Lepisosteus oculatus: one gene and its partner. The protein of the gene in region 1 purifies or fractionates together with the protein of each later gene. This does not show direct contact. Links are inferred from orthologs where the notes say so. Each region holds a gene or a part of one and is shown in the gene's direction. Other genes may lie near its edges.

Region 1 (10,693 bases):
ATAGAATATTTTTATTTTTTGTCATATTTAATGACAACGGGCATCACTAAAAAAGGTCATACTTCTTAATGCCTGCCAGTTACAAGATCTGCAGTTTTATCCTTTTTTTCCCCTATCATAATAATTTGGTACACTTAACGGTCAGAACACATCACTTTATTTTAGACTGACTTATTAGATCAGACCTGAATCTGATTAAAGTTAGGCTAAAATCAGGATAATTAGGATAACAGTTTTGATTATATAAAATGATGTGACTTGCTTAAGAAAGCGGAGGTATCTTTATGAAGGCTGTATCAAGAGGTATTACATTGCCACAAAGCAACAAAATGCATAGCCCAAATCACTATTAATAACATTAAACAGCAGTGGGTCATAAATACTAAGTGGAATTTAGATGAGAAATTCCAATTGAAAAAGTAGAAGCAGTTTGATAGAACTGCTTAGTCAAGGTTTAAGCAGTTTCATTAAACAATTACAAAGGAAGAGAGTATATTTTACTTTACAATATGTTTATGACACTTACTCCAATGAATGGTAACTCAGACAAGTAGTTGCAATTATTTCTGGAATGAAATAATTTTGGGGTTCGAAATGCTCATGTTGTGAGTGAGACACTAATGCAAGGGTTAGGGCTTAAGGCCATGGCAAGATGTTACTCCCCTACATTGCTAGTACACAACCATATCTCCCCAGAATTAGAAGGAACCTACCAGTTTTCACAAGCATTAAATAAAGCTCCAACGTTTTTAAGTGCACAAAAATGACATAACAGCCTGGTATTTTTTCAGCGTCATAACATACAAAGGCAGGCATCGCAGAAACGATCACCACCGTCTAGGAAGTAACATACTAATGGTACCCAGAATGCAACTGGAATTATCTCAGAGACATCTGAGAATGCCTGACCGAAGCCAAAAAAACACTGGCGCAAACCAACAAGGTTTCTGTACAAAAGAATGCAGTGCAGATTTCCCCTTTATCTCAACTCAAGCATTTCCTAAAAACAAAGCACGTACAGCACCTTTTCAGACACACAAGAAAAAGGTGAGGGTTATTATCAGAACAAAACAGATCACCTCTTTATTATGTTTTATTTAAAAAAAAAACATTCAAGAACCAGGGAATTAAAGAAAGAAACAAAACACAGCCCCCGTGAAATTACAAGCAATGACCACGTTAAACCGTGAAGCATTCTCAATATTTCCATCCATTTTCTACCTGCTCCTTCCAATTCAGGGTCAAGGGGGAGCCTGTGACTATTCCTTCAAGCAAAGGGAATGAGGCAGGATGCACTCTGGTTTGGGGGAAAATGGTCCCTGGTAAGAGTGTGCCTTGCGATGCCAATTAATCTACCTCTATGTCTTTCGACCGTGGGAGGAAACCAGAGCACCCTCGTGAAACCCACACAAACACAGGGAGAACATACAAACTCCACACAGATAGCACCCCAGGTCCGAAACTAAGCCCAGGACTCCAGTGCTATGAGGAAGCAAAGCTAACACTGCATCTCTGTGCCACCCGTTTTCATATTCATGCTGGAAATTAGTGAAAGAATGCACCATGAATATATGACAATAAAAGGAAAAAAGTACGTAGTTTTAATTAAGCTCACTGAAGGTGCTGAAAGGCAAGGTTTGTTCATGTTAGAGAGATGCGCACATAGAGAAACGAGCCTGTCACATCCACTTAGTGACAATCACATTAAAACATGGTTTCACTGAAATAACATGAAAAGGGAAATGCTTGGATAAAAACTGGAAAACAAACTTTGTTCTGAGCAGCTGTACATGCAGATACTATTTGTTACCAGCAGTACATGTTGAAACTAGTGCCGTAATACCAGCCACATAGGTCATTGTAGCTCCTGTAGTTTTACTGCCACAAATGTGATATTAGATGTAGACACATGAAGGTGTTTCATGCAGATAGTAAAAACTATGCGTACAAAATGGGGAAAAACCTAGCTTTAAGAAACTACTTATGGAAAAAGAAAGGCATTTATATCAACACATCATTTCCATCTTCAAGAGAACCGAGGGTAAGCAACAAAAAAGGTAGGATATATAGTCAAAAGGGTACAATTTAAACACTACTGGAAACCATGTGGAAATGCATTTAAAACCAGCAACAGGAGGCTCTTCTTTACACAAAAGGTTGTAAGAGTATGGCCAAAGCCATCCACAAGTGGTTGAAGCCAATGAAAAACAGCTGTCAAAAAACAGCTGGATGAAATCCTTGGATCACTAACTACCAAACCGCACAGACGGGCCATCTGGCCTCCTCTCTTTTGTGACCTATATTGTATATTCTTGCTTGTTACGGCTGAAGCAGGAGACTGGATTAAATACCGAGACATGCAGAGTTTTTAAATCCGCTCTTATAGGGCACCTAGAAAATAAACCTCCCACCTGCTCTTCTGCGTTTTCCTCTTCCATATTAAAATTTCAATAAGCCTCTTGTCTGCTGAGGCCCAGAGGCCTCGAGTTATAACCTTGCTTCCACCGAATGCACCAACTGCAATCAACTCAGTCCATCTGCCACTGCAGGGCAGCTTGACAAACCTATAAAAATGAGCTCAACAAATGTTGGACAAATCTAAAAATATCGCTAAGCCCTCCTTGGTTGACTGTGGAAAAGTTTCTGCCACTTTGGTGGGTTTGTCATACGCACGCAGTGGCCCAAGCAGGTCTGAAGCTGCTGACATCTCTCATTAAAAGCAAAGGTGGTGCTTCAAAATCTGGTTTCCTGCCTTACCTGTTTCTGTTCCGTTTTTTTGTGCAGTACTTACTACTCTTAGACCAAGAGTCAAATCCAAACTTTAATTTTACTGCAATCGGAAAACGATACATGTTGCTTGATGAGTAACGACCACGCCGTACTAAATGGGCCTAATCTGTAACGTTTCTTATGCTCCAATGAAGCGGTTTGCCAAAGGGCACCTTGTTCCAGCTCAAAGGAAAACCACCATTACGTTTTGCAGACTTCAGGATGGGCTGGTGGTTCAAATTTTGATTTACTCCAGCCCCTTTTCTCCACTCAGGCTGCAGAGGGAGGTGGGTTATTTTAACCAAAAGTAACTTCCTTAGTGAATCTCCTTTTTTACAAAAAAAAAACATTGGTACAACACGTTTTTTGTTGTATATTTTGCTCACATTCAAATATTATTGTTCCTAGCCAAATCCAGTTAACTTCCTTCTCTTGTGCTATCTTTTCACTCCAAATCTTAATCATATGAACGAAGACCTTTCGAAAAAAGTTAATTTTGTGCAGTTACTGCACAGGCAGTATTTTTACTGATGGAATAAATCCGTTTCAGGGAACCTTTCGCCAAAGAGAAGAATTCATCAATGCAAGCTTCCCATTTCTGCGGAAGAGACCTGTCTTAAGTAGGTGTGCAAGCGACGAGTCCAGCTGACAAGACGGCAAGAAAGCGATTGTGTTTCACTCCTGAAGAGTGACAGGCGCTTTAGGAAAGTCACTCTTAAACCTAGCGCCAGAACAGACCAACTAACTCTACAATTATTTTATGCTACGTAGGCTTTAATCGCCAATACTTATCAAGGGGTCTCGGAATTACACAAGAGATCGTCTTGCTCTACGGGATACAGATAACACCCATTGCTAGAAAAGGACAGTCATCTTGTCGCAAAAGCTATACAAACAAAGAGGAAGAGACTGGTTTTATTCGGAAAAATGTCATCGTAATTAAGGGTTTTCAGCCAGAGATCTTTAAAAAACACCGGTCTCCTAAACACTGCAACGATCAACTTCAAGCCGCACAGAAAAATAATAAGAGCCTTGTCTACCTGTATTATTAATGAAGCTGGAGAGAAAACGAACTTCTGCTGTGCTGGCCAAAAGGGTCACATTCACACTTAGCTGACAACTGCTAAACGCGAGACGTATGCCTGGGCAGCCTAAAATAAAACTTTTTCAAAAAACATCTAACAAATGAACCGTCCAGAGAGACAGCAGCTAGGCCTTTGAAGATCAAAAAATAATCTTTGTCCTACCTCAACAATCCGCCAAATTAATACCGGCGGGTCTAAATAAAAAAGGAGACGCAGACTCGCTCTTCATTTTTTACACTTCCCGGAAGGCAGTTTGTTTAAACGAACGATTCCTTGGCTTCTCGCTCTGTGTTAAAAATCTGACTTGACAGTTTGCCTGCTGTGAATGTTATGATGTTTCTATTTCAGGCCGGGATTGGATTTCGAAAGATCCGCCATTTTCACCTCGTCATCAGTGCAACTTCACAGGAAAGAACCAACATCGCCAGCCCCACGAAAACAAGACGAAACGAAAATAAAAGGCAGAGAAGGGGAAGGGGGGGACGCCCCCAGATCCCGGTTCAAGAGAAGCAAACTAAGTGCTCCGTAAACAGCACGTAGCTGTGCATTTCCTGGATGATACGAAATAATGTAAAGTTCACAACTTAAAAACTCCACAGGCTTCTCCTGAACAGGAAGATCAACAAAAACACGCAGAGCCGCACCGCAGAGCCCAGTCCCCGCACGCGAGAGCAGCCTGGGCTTTCTGCTCATTTTAAAGCAAAACGTTGTTGAAAATAGGCTGGCAAACACACAGTTATATATCAAACGAGCTGCAATATATTTCGGTTCAGATGACTTTCAAATAAAGTTTGCAATAACAGTGCCTCGTATTATAGTGGTTATACAATTCAATCACAGAACGCGAAATTCCTAAATATAACAAAAGTTCCAGTTCAGACAAAACAGCGTTGTTTAAAACCAATACATGCATGACAAGAAGTAGTCATCTAAAAGCTATGTTTAAAAACCTGTTACAAAATTATGGTTTGATCACTTCAGTGATGTGATTTTGTAGGAAGTACAAAAGGGATCGTTGGAACTAAAACTGTCAAAAGGTATATAAAGTTATATAATACAAGATTAAAAGCGGTTAGGAGACAGATCTGCATAGATCAAATAAAACCGTATTCCTACATCGGCGTCCAATACGTCCTGAATTTACCACTAAGCTGTCAATCGTTGAGGATGACAATCTGTAACAACTGAGGAAAATGGATACCTACCCCTTGTTCGTGAACAAATCCCTTGATTCAGCGATTTTCTACAGGTTCTTTAAAATAAAACGCATTCCAGGGTGAAAACGCGTGTACATGGGACACAGGAGTCACAAGAAACGCAAAATCAGACGGATTATTGTACTACCAAATAAATGAGGGTTGTAGGTGACCTATGGGCTTGGCTGTCATCGACATCTCTTTAGCGCTTCTCTCGCACTCTCTCCTGGGTCCGGGGGCAGGTGTTGTTTAGTGAAAATAATCAGGAAAAAGACCTATGTAGCTAAGAATAAACAACGATGACCGATTTCATGGACTTCACGACGAGCATCCGTTCCGATCTGACAGCCTAAGTGGAGACATTTTGTCAGGCCAGGACGTTCTCTTGTTGCGGAGACACGAAATCGGGCTCCGTGCCTGGATGCTATTTACAATAGTCAGTGGAAGCTGGTGCTTATAATGCCTCAGCCGTCCCTCTCGGTTTGGGATGTGTTTGCTTGCCCCGAGCAAGTCTTACTGGAGATCCCCGATGCGCTCCGTGTCCAGCTGTGATTGCTGTCGGCGCCTTCTTGTATCTTTTCAACACAACCCCAGCCGAGCCCGGCTTTGCGCTGCTGCATCCAGACCGCCGACACACGGAGACGTTTGTTCAAAATCACGCGCCGAGCGCCATTCCACCTCCACCATCCCATAATACTGCCGCGCCCTCCTTGGAAACCACGCATTGCGTCTTTCGTCACTGCACGCACGACGTGCAGACACCCCCCTCCCATCCCCACTCCCTTCTTCTTTCGTCATTCCCACTTTTTAATATTAAAAAGTGCACTGCAGCTAAAATTTAAGAAGTTTGATATTATGCTATACTTTACAAGATTAAATATAAAAAGTGTATAATTAATCTGTTATCACTACTGACTGGGTATCACATCTACAAATCAAAGTGGTACAATGAAACTCTGATTTAATGCAGATAATGTGGAAATGCAGTGTTATTTAAACTCAATCAAAACAATTAAAAATAGCAAGGCAAAAAGTATAACCGATTTATGTAAAAATGTTAACTTATTTAGCAACATAGTTCTGTGTTTTTCGTTTACTTTTTAGATATTGTTTCTCCTTTGCATTAATGTTCAATAAAACATTAGTTTTTTTAATAAAACATTTTTGTTAAAAACACCAGTTAAAAATGTGCACTGCTGGTGAACTAACATCATGTAAAAATAAAGGACAAAGTTCAAAATGTCCATCTTTTTAAATAAAGTTCTAAAATTTCAGGACGTAATACATAATTAAACAGCATGTTTTTATGTTAACCGAATTAGTAGGCCCATTTGTTATTGTATTTTTTAAACAGCTATTTAAGTATATATATATACAAACAAACAACATTTTTGAACACATAATTTCATTTCAGCGTATTCGAAAACTTTTTGATTACTTGGCTTTTATTTTGGAGTAGTATTTTGCAGGTCTTTGGATGCGCGCCATAATGACGACACGTGTCTTGCGCGGTTAAGTGACGTAGCCGCAAGAGCGAGTTTGGTCTCCTGGTTGTGTTTTGACAGATTCGGCGCCTTCTTCGTCCGCTTGGAGGACCGAGGCGTTGCAATCCGGCAGCCGTTAGGTTTGTTTCTGGTTGGAAAGAATACTCCCTCTTGCAGCCTCTGCAGAAAAGAGTCGTTGTTGGTGTTTCGGGGCGAGAAGATGGCGGCGGCTGTCCGACAGGAATTGGCTCAGCTCATGAACTCCAGCGGATCTCACAAAGATCTTGCTGGAAAGTAAGTAAAACAAAATTTAAAAACTGAAAGAGCACATCTTTTCAGAGAAGAGGACGGTATCCTAGGCCTCCCATTAACTCCAGCATTTTGAGTAAAGCGGTTCTGGGTACCGGCTAGTGATGTGACAATCGCAGTGTCATGAATGAGTGGGGTTTTCACCTAGATGTTTTTTTTTGGTAAAACCATTTTAGATGTATAAATTGAATCGGAAGTTACAAGGTTAAGCTTTTTGTTGATAAGAGTTATATACTTAATAATAATATTATGTATATAATGGTTCTTTCGTGATATAATTTACGGTGCGTAAACATTATTTAAAATTGCTTTTGAATGAGGAGACCTTAGACTGATCAGCTCCTTGAAGACGCCGTGAATAAGTTATATTTCAACGTCCGATAGTTAACCGGCTTGAGCAATATTCAAGATTTGTGGATAGATACATTTCTACACTGCGAATAATTTACCAAAATCATGTATTTTAGGCCCGATAGTTAGGTTTATTGATGAAGTGGCGCTATGAAATACAATTAGATGCTAACAGGGTTAACAAAATTGCAAAACACATGAAAATGATTCATCATCCAACTGTTTTTACTTCCATAACAAAGACCAACTGATTGTGCACAAACATGCCTCGAGAGCATGAGGAATTTTTAGTTTGCTTTATATTAAAAGCATTGCCAGCTATATTCTTGGAGACTTCCTATCCAGAAGGCTTTATATAACATGTTGATCTTCAATTTTTTCAAACACTTAGAATTATTATCAATTCTAGGATATTATACAGTATTAAATAAATAAATAATTTGGAACTGCAAATGTCAGCACTACCTTAATTGAGCTTTTAATTGACTTTCTTACTTGATCAGTAACATGCAAGTGTTCCCTTATGTTGTGCCTAATTAGGTTTACTGGATTGAGGCTCCTGGATTGGAGACGAGTATATAACATTGTCCAGTTGCTTTCCTTTTGTTAGGCAAGTCTATTCTGATCTTGTTTTTAAAAATAGCATTTGGATAAAGTCATAATGTTTTAGTGCAATGGGAGTTATTCAGCCTGCTGTTTAATTTCACGAATGAGTGAATCCCATTTTATCCCCTGGGTATGTAGACAGATACATATGGAATAGTTTGTCTTGGCTGTAACAATGTTCCTCAAGTGAACGGTTGACTGAAAAATGTGAGTATTTCCTTTAATGTAGCTGGAAAATGTTCAGACTTTTATTGAAGCTTTTATTGAAACGTTTGTTTGATTTATATTTTACATATTTTGTCTCTGATTAGGTGTTTACTTTTTTAATGTCAAAACTTCTTAGGAAAAGATGGTGTGAATTGTGTCCTGGAGCAAACACTGCAGTGATCGCAATTATGCTCTGGAAGTACCTGTGGAATAAGTTTTGCCACACCAGTGCTACTGACTTACAAACAATTTCTTATTACAGGTACCGACAGATACTTGAAAAGGCCATTCAATTTACTGGTGCTGAGCAGCTGGAGGCTTTGAAGGCATTTGTTGAAGCCAGTAAGTACTGCTGCAGAATTTGCTTTTGTCGTCCCATTCAGTTAGGAATGTGTGAAGTGGGGTTTATATTGCTTTGAAATATTAGAAGCTGAACTTAAGCTATGTGTGTGTTAAAGGGGAGCTGCAATGCTATTTTTATATTTCGGGGTTAGAAGGAATCAGCATTGAAGAGTGCATTTCAAACCACAATTAAAGAAAAATGAACACAGTAGCTTGTAAAACCTCTAATTTACATCACAAAATAGCCACAAGTTAATCCAATAGAAATATTGCTCTCGATTTAGACTGTTTTGCCAACAAATGCTGCTTAACTCTGCATGCATATCACGTTGGAACATTCCTGTTGTGAAATGTCTGCTGCACAACCTGTACTTATTTGTGTATTCATCACATTACATGAGCAGGAAGGGCTGCATCACATCGCAGTTTGTGTTTGCGACAACATGGCGACTTGCATTACTTTCACAAAGTTCAGGATTTTGTGCTTCATTTGAAATTTGTAATTTTTTCTGTAACGTCAATGAATTTATTTTGTTATGAAGATTTAATAACCCGGTCTGAGAAACTGGGACTGTATTTCTTCTTAAAATACAGTTTTGTGTAAATTTCTCCGTCCAGATTATAGCAAAAGTACAGGAAAGCCATTTGTTGTTATCTTTCAAGCAGCTTTTTTTTTCTTTTGTTCTTGTAAGAGGTGGATCTAAGTAGTCTTTGATCTGAAATGGTCATTTTGGGTTTTAAAAAAAAATAATAGTCCCTTCTCGTGCAATGTAACACGTCAGCACTTCTTGTGCTGAGTGAAATGTTCGTGTCGGTAGGGTATGTGTCACTGTACCGGGTCTTCTCTCTCTTCCCCAGTGGTTAATGAGAATGTCAGCTTGGTGATCTCCAGGCAGCTGCTTACAGATTTCTGCACTCACCTCCCCAACCTCCCAGACAGCACAGCTAAGGAGGTGTACCACTTCACGCTAGACAAAATCCAGCCTAGGGTCATCTCCTTTGAAGAGCAGGTGGGTGCATATCTCTTCTTAAAAATTTCTGGCACCATATGTGGGCACTGCCTTCGCCCTACTGTCTATGGTAGCTACAGGTCCCCTGTTATACTATTGAGGTGCTCTGGTGTTGTGACATTGACGTTCAACCTTCTCTTTTAATTCTTGGAAAGGGTACATCTTTTATTAAGTTGCAAAAGGAATTAAACAACATGCTTTCTTCACAAATCTATTAATCCACCCATTTGTTGTCAGTTGTTTATCCTTGCTGAGGTTGTAGCAACAGGGAGCCTGTCCTGGATTGTAGGGTACCAGATGAAAATACACGGGTCACCAGCGCAGGGGACTTACACAAGAACAATTTAGAGACGCTCGTTGGCTTAGCCAGCATGGCTTTGGAAGGAGGGAGGAAACGTGCACCCAGAGAAAGCCTAACTGGAAGTGAGAGAAGCATGCCAACTCCACCCAAAGGATCTCCCAGTCAGGAATCGAACCCTGGAGGAGATAAGAGCTGTGAGGCAGCAGTGCTACCTTCCTCACCACTGTCGTGGCCTTAAATACTATAATACATGTCTTAAAAAGTTGTAGTTGAACTCAGTATACCTGAGAAGTCTGTCTTTTGGTCTCTTGCCAAACCATAGTGAAGGTGCTGGCTCAAATTTCAATGGCTAAGTAGTGTTCTCACATTGATTGTCTTAACTTTTTAATCACGTATCCGATCTGTGCATGAATGTGATGTTATGCAAAATCCGATTATGCTGCTGTATTTATTGATTTGTTTGAGTGGTGGAACTATTTCTCTTTCATAGTGAGTCTGTTCTCCAGACTCACCTCTTGCAGCAAGTGCTTTTTACACTTCTTGTTACTCACATGATACGATGAATACATGCAAGCGACAGCCGAGGTTTTGGTCTTAAAGTGATGAACGGCAGACCATAGAAACCCATTTCTAAGGTCTAAGTCTATTCCTTCTTTGATTTAATGTGTTGATAGGTGGCATCTATCCGGCAACACCTGGCAACAATTTACGAGAAAGAAGAGGACTGGAGGAATGCTGCTCAAGTCCTAGTTGGAATTCCTTTGGAGACGGGACAGAAGTAAGTGGGGTCTTCAGTTACTTTACTGAGTTCTGCTGTGCCGGACTGGTGAAATGATCACTACTCTTTTTGTCTGTTTCCCAGGCAGTACAATGTAGATTACAAGCTAGACACATACCTCAAGATCGCTCGTCTGTATCTAGAGGATGACGACCCGGTACAGGCAGAAGCTTACATCAACCGCGCCTCTCTTCTCCAGAATGAGTCCACTAATGAACAGCTGCAGATCCACTACAAGGTAGCTCCCTTTTCCCA
Region 2 (10,652 bases), on another chromosome or scaffold:
CGTAAAACAAGGATCTAATGTACATTAAACAGAGGTAACCGAGACCCACAAATGGAAAGAAATACTAGTCTGAAAAGGCAGCCGAGCAGCAGTCTCGTCTATTACTGTATTAAAAGCTGCAGAGAGGAGCCCCAGCGGTTGCGCTTGAAAAAGAGCCGCTTGACATCAGTTTAAATTCGCAAGTCTAGCCGGATCCACACCTTGTTTGAAATCGCTGTCAAACATGGCTTTCCTCCCGACGTAGTACTTGTAGGTGACTCTCTGGGCGATGCTGTACTCGTCTTTCAGGTTGGAGCTGTCGATGGCCCTGATCAGCGGCTTGCACAGGTGCAGCTTGTTGATCTGGAACACGGGCGACCGGAGAGCGATCAGGGCACCTCCCGCAGGGCACGCGCGCAGCTGCGGAGACGACAACGCCCACCGAAAGACATCGGCCTTACCTTGAAGTAGATCTTGAAAAGCTGGTTGATGAGAAACAGCATCCCCCACTTTTTGGAGTCGTCAATGCCAGCGCGGCTGAAAAACAACCCAGCGGTTGAAACCTCTTACTCTTCCCGGTCCTTCAAACAGAAAGTTGCACTCGGCTGTATCCTACGGCTCGCCGTTTCAAATCGACAACTAACCAGCGACAACGGTGCACCAAGTTCTGAAATCCTGGAGCAAACAGAGGCTACAGAAGCCAGGTCTTCATCAGATCACTGAAGCCTCACTGGATCGAAGAAGTTGCTTCGTTGGAATATTTGCATTTTGTTTCTAGTCACACGTTTGGGATTTTATTTCACTTACAAAATACAGGGTTAGTCAAAACGCTGCCGACAAGTATAAATGCCAATTATTTTACTAAAGTTTTTCCTCCTCCACGGGTGGCGAAGAATTGCAAGGTAACTGTTGGAAACTTTGTTATTCATGCTTTCGTTTGAAACCTTTTTTGTCACAGTAACCCAAGTCATTAACTTGTAATAAACCGTCAAGGTTGATGACAGCATTTTGGCTGACCCTGCACACCGGTTAAAGCTCCAACATGTGTAAGAGCTGGGAACAGACTGTTCACATTGGTCTTACTATGATGAAGTCAATGCAGGGTTTGACTGTGTAACTGCGGGCTCCACTGGAATAAAATCCAGCAGGTGTGAAAGTCACCAGGACCAGGACTTGGAACCGCTGCCCCTGGGTATCGGAAAAGGCTCAATTCTAGAGAGAATTCTAGAAAGAAAAGCTCCGAGACTGCACACCACTGCTATATGAAGTCTACTGTTCCCCCCCACACACAGCAGAAAAAAGAGCTACCAGAAGACAAAAACCCACAAATCAATAAGACACGTTCCTAGTTCTGGGGAGCTGCGTCAGCATGCGTGGGCTGCAAAGGAACGAGTAAAGGTCTATTCCGTGCCGAAAAAGGAAAGAGACAAAGCGCTTCGGCCGCGGAGCCTTCTTCAGGCGGGAGTCTGCTCTCCTTTTCAGCACGAAACGAGGAAACGACGCGCAGCGAGCGGGGCTTACTTGTCGCTGGCACAGATGCGGAAGCAGCTCATGAGCTGCTCGGCGGCCTTTTCCAGCATGTCCCCCACCTTGCCCTTGCCCTTCTTAGCCAGCTGCTGCTCCGCCTGGGGAAGGCACACACATTTTCTGCTCCCTGCGGGCGGACTGCGGCGCGAGATTTCCAGCCGAGAAGTCGCCCCCCCCTCCCCCGAGCACTCGATGCTGCTCTTGGCCCAGTGAACACCGCGGATAACACTTTCCTCACCTCTACTGCACTGCCCCACGGAAGAAGACTGCAAAGAGTGCTTTCACTGAACACCAGCTACGGTCACATCACGAAAGAACACATTTACAGTACAACCACTTACATTGTTGGCGAAGATGCGGAGGTCTAATCCCACTGCATACATTATTGGCAGGGCCCTGGAAAAAACAGGCTAAATAAGAGACCAAAGACTAAGGCCACAGAACTCAACGTAAGAGGGGGATTATGGCATCAGTTGAGTTCAGGTTAGGGTTACTACTACAATTACTGCTTGGTCTGGATCTCCAGAAAACAGAAATAATGGAGAGAAACTAGAAAAAGATGTAAGGAGCACATGAAGCCCAGCTCTGAGGCAGGAGAATGGAAACTGCCCATTCTGTCTCAGTGGACTCACAAGAGAAACCTTCCCATAAGAAAGCAATTATTTGTCCGTGGATTTACTTTACTGCATATCCTTACTTGCACACAAACGTGAGCACTGCACCAAACTTTGAAAACTGCATCATTCAAATAAACTCAAGAAGAACCGAATGATACTCATACCTGCTGATGATGTGAGCCCAAAGTTACAATCTTGAGTATGTTGAGTTTGAAAAATCTTTGGATCAGTTGTCTGATTTTACATTTTGGCAAGCAACTGATGATTCAAAAATGTTACAACAATAAGAATGTATTATTCAAATAATGCCGGCATCAAGACGTTTGTAAAATGTGTTAAATGTATAGATGAGATTTGCTAGGTCTTACCAGTTTTCTTCCTTGTGAGCCTGGAATGCTTTTAAAAATGATGTAAAACATTAAGGAAAAAGAAGCAGCTGTTAATATCCAGGATTAAAGTGCATATCACAAATATCACTGCACTATAAAAGTACAGATTTGACACTGTGTCTAAATCTTTTCGCTCAAATTCAATGCATTTCTGAAGAATATTTTTCTACTGTATCACACAGAACAGCCACATTCACAAAATGCAAGACATTTATCTCGAGCTGCCAAGTGAATTATACGGTAGCTCTTTGTTACTGCTATTTGGCCGTGACAATACCATAAAGAGGTTTTGACAACATCCCGTGGCTTAAAAAGAATTGTATTGATGCAGCTTTTCGGTATGAGGTTGCATCATTATTTTGATGATGCCACAATGCTTTTTGGGGGCTTTCTCTGATGCAAATGATAAACTAATTCAATCAATCCTTCAGCAAAGGATTAATGTACTTATTCTCAGTAAAGTTCTGTTCACTGATGTAAATAGCATTCAAATGGTCTAAGATTAATTCAAAAAGTTTGCAGGTATTTGAAAGGTACTGCAAACCATACTGTATTAAAGGATATTGGACCACTACTGTCTGGCACTTGTATGCTTCCACAAAGTCATGATTTGCTACAGCATATGTACACCTGGAATGAGAAAGAAAAGGACACAAGGTCTGGATTAACAGAAGGATTACAGCATCCTCAAGCAAATACTTAATTCTGTGCTACATTCCCACTGAAAGCAACTCCAAATCTGTTGTACTGACGTTGTTGGGCGTTATTTTGTGAATTTCAAAACTATTTGTTTCTGCATGACCAGCATAATTCAGAATAATGAACAGACTGCCTAAGCTTCTTTGACAACCCACCTCTTGGTCAGCTTTAATTTGACTATGTCACTGTGCAATTAGGCAGACCCTAGGATACTGTGGCACTTAGATACACCACAGTACCAGGGCCTTAAATCCTCCCGCCTTACCTCAGATGTGCTGCAACCATTTCATCATGGGGGGGTTCAAGGACCTGCTGGCACTTCTCCTCGGGGCTGGGGAGCTAAGAATCAAGAATTAGCACAGTGACACGTACAGTACCATCAGCCCACACAAGCCCCTGTATTTTGGCCTGTATAATTCAGAAGTTTCCCAAGTGCGTGAAGGGAGTTTTGATCTCTTTAGTAAGTTAAATATATGGCCAGCTGTGGCCCATGAGAATGCAGGGCAATTGAATTTCCATTTCAGCTGATCAGTGAAGTACTTAACAAAACCCAGCTTCAGCAGTCAATGCAAATGTGTTCCAGGCATTCAGAGATTGTCAGGATACCCCACAAAGCCCGCTGGACTGAGGCTCAACAGAACCAGGGTTGGCCTGTCCATGACACATGACGCACATACGGTATATGAACATAAAAGACCTGCAGTGTGTGCCACTACGAGAGGCCAAGATCATGCACATCATTGGGCAAGATCATCCTGAATCCTGCAGAGCACTATAGCCTCACCTTGGAGTCTTCCTATTAACCTATGTACAGTAAAATGCATTAACAGCCCCAGAGAGGGAAGAGAGAAACTGTTGCAACAAAACAATATATTAACGAGTTAATTTTAACGAGCACCTTAAAGGAATGGGCCACCTGGGACCCACCCCTGTCTTAGCTTGTACAGTACTCCAACTCTAACCTTAACCCAACTCTGAAGCTCAATGAACCCTTGCACCTCACTAGATCTACCCCAGTCCCTCACTCTGATTCACTCGGTGCTGCACACGCAGTCGTGTCACTGACATTGACTTGGCCAACGTGACCACTGAGCAGGTTGATGTTTCATCGCAGGTTCCTGGCAGCTGCGAGGGCCAGTACTGGGACAGTACAGAACATCCTACCTGAAGCCTGGGGTTGGCCACATGGGGGTGTTTGAATGACAAAAGCTCAGCACAGAATGCTCCGTCTCTGGTGTCGGTGGCTTCAAGTACCTGGCACGAAGGATGCAAAACTCATTTACAGCTCTCCTGCCATCCAGCCAGAAGAGGACACTGAAAGTCGAGGCAGAGTTATCTCACGATAAACACAAGTCTATCCTCATTCAAGCCTCATAACATATTTTTGAATAGCTGTAAGGTCGTAAATTACACAATACCTGCTGGAGGTACTGATTTATTGTTATGTGTGCCATTGAAGATATTCAAGCTGTTCTTTCCTGCGCTGATGTTGGTTCCGTGATGGAAAGCCTAATGAAAGAGGGAAAATAGTTTATTTTTTTTGTGAGACGACAAGCATGGACACATAATTATAACATCAACCAAAATTATTCACGAGATGCGTGATTTAAACGGATAGGAGGACACGGCTTCAAATACAAAAATCATCTTGTGGGTAAAATATGGATTACCCTAACGTTCTTCGCCATCCATATGTTTGCGTCTTTAACGCATGCTGCGTTTTCTTTCGCAGAACCAGGACTTTTTGCAAGTTTTTGGCACGACAACACAGTCATACCGTCAAGTCATTCAACGACGTTTGGAACCGTTGACGTTTCCAAAAAGAAAAAAAAAACCCCACCGGTAGCGATGCCTCCTCAGTTACACGGTCACTAGACGCGTTTTAATTTCAAGTTGGAGTACTCACTATTCGCATGAACACAACCCTGCACGTACTTTGCACTTCCAGTCCTATTTTTGTCTCGGCATCAGAGATGCTTCTCCGCGACGTGAACCGCTGCTGCACAGTCCTGCAGCGAGCAGGCAGGCGCGTAAGGTCATGCGCACGATCTGCTTCCTGTTGGCAGCGTCCATGACCGCGCTACCTGTTAAAGACACAGCATTCACAATTATACAGTAACTTTCAAACACTCTGATTGTGCCGTACAGCGCCGGGCGTTTTTTTTATTTTTAGTAAGGTGTATGCGAAGTCTAAAATGCATTCATGAAAGGTTCTGCTTGTGCTTAGGACGCCTTGCAAAATGCAAATGATGTGTGGTGACGGCGAATCTTAATGCTGTCATCCAGTGTGAATGGCTCAGATCACGTTTTTTTGCCTCAATATTGTCCGAGTTGGTGGCATCGCGTCCGTGTTCAGTATGCCCAATGAGTAAGTTATTCTAAGTCTTCTGAACGCGGTGTCCCCCCTTTTTAAAAGGACTGTAAGGATATAGCAGGAGCATTGCAAGATACGGAAAAACTGTTTCGGGGGGTTTTACAAGTCCAGACCTAAACTCTCTGGTGCAACTGTATCCCTTTAATTTCTTTTTGAACTACTGTCAAGTGCAGACTAGGAAAAAAAAATCCTCCCAAGATGCACTGGCTAGGAGGTGGAGAAAGAAGCCATTTTGTTGGTATTTGTTTTCCAAAGATGAAGCTGCTGAGATTGTTCAGTGGAGTTTATAGAGTGGAGTTTCCACATCCGTAAAGAACTGGCGATGGTATAATGACTAACTTTTTAGCGACAGAGAAGCAGGGAGTCGTGGATGTACCTGCCACAGACTGTAGATAGTTTTTGTCCTTTTTTTTTTTTTGCGCGTCGGTCAAGTGCAACGTACTTCTTGCTGCACCTATACGAGAATAAATTCATACTAACAGGTTCCAGGAGGCTCATGGCGAGGAAGTAATGTTGGAGGAGTACGTGACAAAAGCCCATTGTAGCGACCTGTCAAGGATCGGGCATTCGGGACACCGGACACATGCATGATATAACGGCAAGCCTAACAATTTTCCAAGAGACTTCCTCTAAGAGACACCATTACTCGGGCACTTTGCACCCAGTTCAGAGGAGGAAAGTCTTCGCTTGCGCTGTCCGTGCCCTCCATCTGTAACGATGGCAGAAGACATCCGCCACAGCACGAAGGCAAACTTCTCCGCGCTGGCCGAGCACACCAACGGCCTCACTAAAACTTCCACGCTCGCCTCCAAACCGGGGGCCTCCAAGAAACTAGTCATTAAAAACTTCAAAGGTAGGTCCGGCGGAGAAGGACGCGGGTCCGCAGGTTTGTCCGCAGCCAGGCTTGGCGACGGCTGGCAATTGGCACATGTGGGATAAACGGAATAAGCCCAGTTTTTTTTTAAAACAAAAAAAACGGTCTGGCTATAATGTATCCTTAAACATTTCTTTTGACAAAAAATAGTAAAAAATGTAGCCAACTACAGTAGGTTGGTTCTAAACGAGCTTGAGCTGTTCAGCGCTTCAGGATGACTTTAAATGCCCGGGATTGTAGTGGTTAACACTGGCGTGACTGAGCGTCGGTGAGGTGGTTGTTGTTTTTGTTTTTGTGTGTGTGTGTGTGGCCTTATTACATAACAGTTGGAAGTTAATTCCGTGCACATTCTAGAAAGGGTGCCGCAGAGGTCGCCATTCGTCCAGGCGGCACTCGTTATTTCCCAACTCGGCTTGAACTTCCTGGACGCCGTCCGGCGGAGCGGACCCGTCGCCCTCCTGCCTGCCGGGCTCGGGAAGGAGTCGCGGCTCTGAGCCCCCGCACCCGTCCCCGAAAACCGAGAAATCGTTGGTGTTTTTCCGCTCGTTTTACCTTCTTCACAAACCCGGCATGCCTCGCAGCCCGGGCTAAGAGCCACTGCACTAGAGAGGATGTTCGTGCAACGTTTACACATAGGGGGGTGTGTGTGAATTGCTCACATTTTCTTCTTCTTTTTCTTTATGTCCTCAATATACCCAATAATAGGGCCGTTTGTATTGAATGAGCGATGTAAACCTACACGAAGCTACACAGGTCAGAAGTTTCTCCAAATACATGAGCTTGTAGTGCGGTGCTGGACTCAGTGCAGCTACAGTACTGTACCTTATACCCAGCAACACCAGCACAATTAAGAGAGCACTTCTGTACATACATACACATGTATGGGCTACGGGCAGTCTTTTTTATTCCCTCCCAAAAGCTTCAATTCATATATTTTTTTCCGGAGACGAGAAACCAGACGGGTTCTTTTAATATTCGTTTGAGGCTTGAGGTCTTGAGGCTGGCCTGGATAAAACTCTGTTGGAAACATTTGACACCGTGTTGCGGTCAGTTTGCTGCCGACACGCTTTTCATCGCCTGCCCCCTTATAAACGTTACTGATTTAAGGACTGATACAAGGGATCCCTGGAAAATAATAATAGATACGGTAAAAGGTCTTGCCTTTCTGCATTTTTTGGTTTTTGTCAGTTAGTGACAAGTATTTTTGCACCCTCAACATCAGTGTTACTGATTTGTTACCGATTACTGAGCGCAGAGTCCCGCATTTGGTCAGGTGATGGATAACGAATTCTAGTTAATTAAGGACACGGGGGAAATACTGTAAGTTGTGTCCAGACGTTATGCAAATCCAGACAAACCTTACATGGACGAAGCTGGAATAACAAGTGTCCATTGAACCGGAATGCTACAAATGGAAAACGCAGAGGAAGGTGGAGATCCATTTTCCCGGCCGGTTCCTGCCCTGTTTTGAAGGCGAGGGGCCGGAGTGTCGGACGGTGCCTCGGGGTCCTGGCTCGCTTTCCTGCCGGTTATGGACACTTGGGGAAAGCAGCTTTGCACGCTGCAGAGCTGAAGCCGAAGAGGCACCCAGGTCGTGTCGCACCGTAAATGACTCTAGGGGATCATTGACGCGATTGACGGGCCAGTTCAGGCGGCGGCGTCTCCCTGTAGTAGTGGGGACTCCACACCTGCGTTTTTCTCGAAATGTCAGTTGCCTCTGTTCTTGTGTAAATACGTACTGTTTATTAGGCTCAGTTTCCTCTGAGAAAGTTAAATGATTAATACTCCGGCAACGCACCTCTGTTATAGTTCAGGTGGGTAGCTGCGTCAGCATGCGTAGACTGCGCATCTGTTATATAAACAAAACCAAAACAGATCCCCTCCGGAGTCCTTTAGCCTGTTGACTGTGGTTTCAGTGTGTCGCCAAGCTCCTCATACTGCTTCCGGGCATTTTCAGCTGATGGATGTTGTCGAAAGTGGGACGGAGTTAGTTATTGGCCTGGGAGTTACTGGTCAGGGGTCATTACCTGAGGATTATCTGGAAAGCCAACCAAAGTGGTTCACCTCTGAAGAATTGTTCCCCTGTGAATGAGTAGTGGCTGTAGCCCATTAAGGACTTGTTACTTCAACGTCCTCGTTCAGAATTGCTATCTAGGCTGGACAATAGAGTACAACTCTTGCAAAGAAGAACAAGATCTGCCAGTTAACGTATCTGAGTCTTGGAAGTCAGGGATAATCTTTTGATTGTTACAGGATGTTGAGTCCAAGCTGTTATCACGTTGATTATCAGGGTACATCCAGGATGTCAACACAAACCTGTTCCTAGCCCTGAGAGCCTGTGAGTCTACAGCATATTGTGGGAAAAAAATGTGAGCAGGCTATAGAAATACACAAATTCTGTAAATCACCAGTTCTGAAATGAGGCTTATTTACTGACACTTTTTTTGGTCATTTCACAGTAGCACTCCGAACTCTGGTACTCAGTGATTTAATGGGTGTTCTGATTTAATTTAGTATTGTGTTTTCAGATAGACCAAAGCTCTCAGAAACCTACACTCAGGAAACATGGCTGAAACTTCAGGAAGCTGTCGGAGCCATACAGAACAGCACTTCCATTAAGTACAACCTCGAGGAGCTCTATCAGGTAAGCCTGTCGTCTTCATATCCTGAGCATAAAAAGATGAGCATGTATGATTTTACATTAAGCATGTATGAGTGACATTAAATATTGATTAAATGTTTTTCTTGTCATTTTGATTAGTCAGACTGTGGTGCGCTTGACTGTTGTATAAGCCCTAAATCACCTCATTGGTGAGTGTTGATTGAGCACAGGAGATACAGGTTAAAATTGAGAAAAACACAAGAAGGAACGTCTATGCCCTGCTTTATCAAGGGAAGAGTGCCTTTTCTCATCTTTATGTTGGAGACTGGGCTAAGTCAGTTCAGGAGGACTGAGCAACAGTGAGTTTGCAAATGTTTGCATACATCCGAATAGGTGATTGTGAAGCCCAAGCTTTAAGGTCTTAGCAGGAGTGTCGCATCGGTACTGAAGTGCATTTGACTGATGGCGACCTGACTGCGTGGCACCGTGTTGAATCTCTCCGGTTGCCCATCCTGACATGACAACATTCCAGCAGGACAGTGCACATCCTCATGCTTCCTGTGAGGTGAACATGTGACAGCCATACCGTGGATACCCTTCACAGCAGGCTTGAGCCCCAGGGTTGAACTAGGACCATGTGTGACATCTAGCGCTAAACGACCAGTCGGCAGGTGAAGATTTCTTCCAGAATCTGCTGTAATGGAGTCCCACAAGACCGCATCTGTGACCTGGTGCAGCTCATAAATGTGCCTTTTACCTGACTAATGAAATGCATTCGTGAAAAACCAAATCAGCCTCTTAGAATTGGTAGGCTTGGGAAAGCACTTGTAAGTGTGGTATTCCTGTAGGTGAGCTATACAGTGCTATGGTCAGAGTGTTCAGAAAGCTCAAATTCAAGTTCCCGTTTATTTGTCATTCCATTCATTTACAAGTATACAGTGGAATGAAATATCGTTCCTCCTGGTCCACCGTGCAAATACAGACAGGACACGGAAATAGACATTGTAGACAGGATACACATAGTGCAAAGTGCAAATAGTGCAAATTATGAAGCAATACATAATACAATACACACAGCACACTGGGGGGATTTAAGCCCTATTTCTGGAACTGGAGAGGGTGCAAGTAGATTCCAGGGTGTTGAGGAGCCTGACAGCCAGCATGAAGAAGCTGTTACAGAGTCTGGTGGAGCTAGATGGAGTCCCACAAGACCATATCTGTGACCTTGTGCCAAGCATGTGTCAGTACCAGCCTAAGACTTTTCTCATGAGTGTCATGTCGTTACAATAACATTTTTGAACGCAAGATTGTAATGTTTCTGCAGCTAAGTTTGTGAATTTGTTGTAAGTTTCTTTTCAAGTTTAGTATGTCTCCCAACTGTTTTGGTAACATTTGTCAGGTCTGCCCACCAGTTGTTTGCATAGGACTAGATATGGGTGTAGACTTCTTTGCATTGAACGTTCCTGTCTTTCTCATTGTCACACCTGATGTGTTTCGCTTTCAGCATTTTCCTACTTTGTAACTTAAGTTTTGTGAACATAGTTCATTCTTTCTTTAATGCAGACCTTTCCTAGGTTTTGTCCGTGTTAAG

What was found.
Region 2: the proteins of cops4 (region 1) and cul4a purify together in Homo sapiens (affinity purification with mass spectrometry; 7 studies listed by BioGRID and IntAct, with this or other methods). This does not show direct contact. The link is inferred for Lepisosteus oculatus from reciprocal best matches to the Homo sapiens genes COPS4 and CUL4A.

The regions. Positions count from the first base shown.
Region 1 is NC_090698.1:27,532,613-27,543,305, forward strand, and holds the start of cops4 (COP9 signalosome complex subunit 4), read left to right. Parts: upstream 1-6,550; 5' UTR 6,551-6,754; coding exon 6,755-6,828; intron 6,829-8,269; coding exon 8,270-8,349; intron 8,350-9,207; coding exon 9,208-9,359; intron 9,360-10,334; coding exon 10,335-10,438; intron 10,439-10,522; coding exon 10,523-10,676; intron 10,677-10,693. UniProt on the Homo sapiens protein: Component of the COP9 signalosome complex (CSN), a complex involved in various cellular and developmental processes.
Region 2 is NC_090710.1:28,724,129-28,734,780, forward strand, and holds the start of cul4a (cullin-4A), read left to right. Parts: upstream 1-5,529; 5' UTR 5,530-6,302; coding exon 6,303-6,438; intron 6,439-8,987; coding exon 8,988-9,103; intron 9,104-10,652. Other genes in the region: pcid2 (PCI domain-containing protein 2), read right to left, coding at 201-342, 441-516, 1,501-1,604, 1,848-1,902, 2,492-2,531, 3,075-3,142, 3,477-3,550, 4,376-4,465 and 1 more. UniProt on the Homo sapiens protein: Core component of multiple cullin-RING-based E3 ubiquitin-protein ligase complexes which mediate the ubiquitination of target proteins. As a scaffold protein may contribute to catalysis through positioning of the substrate and the ubiquitin-conjugating enzyme.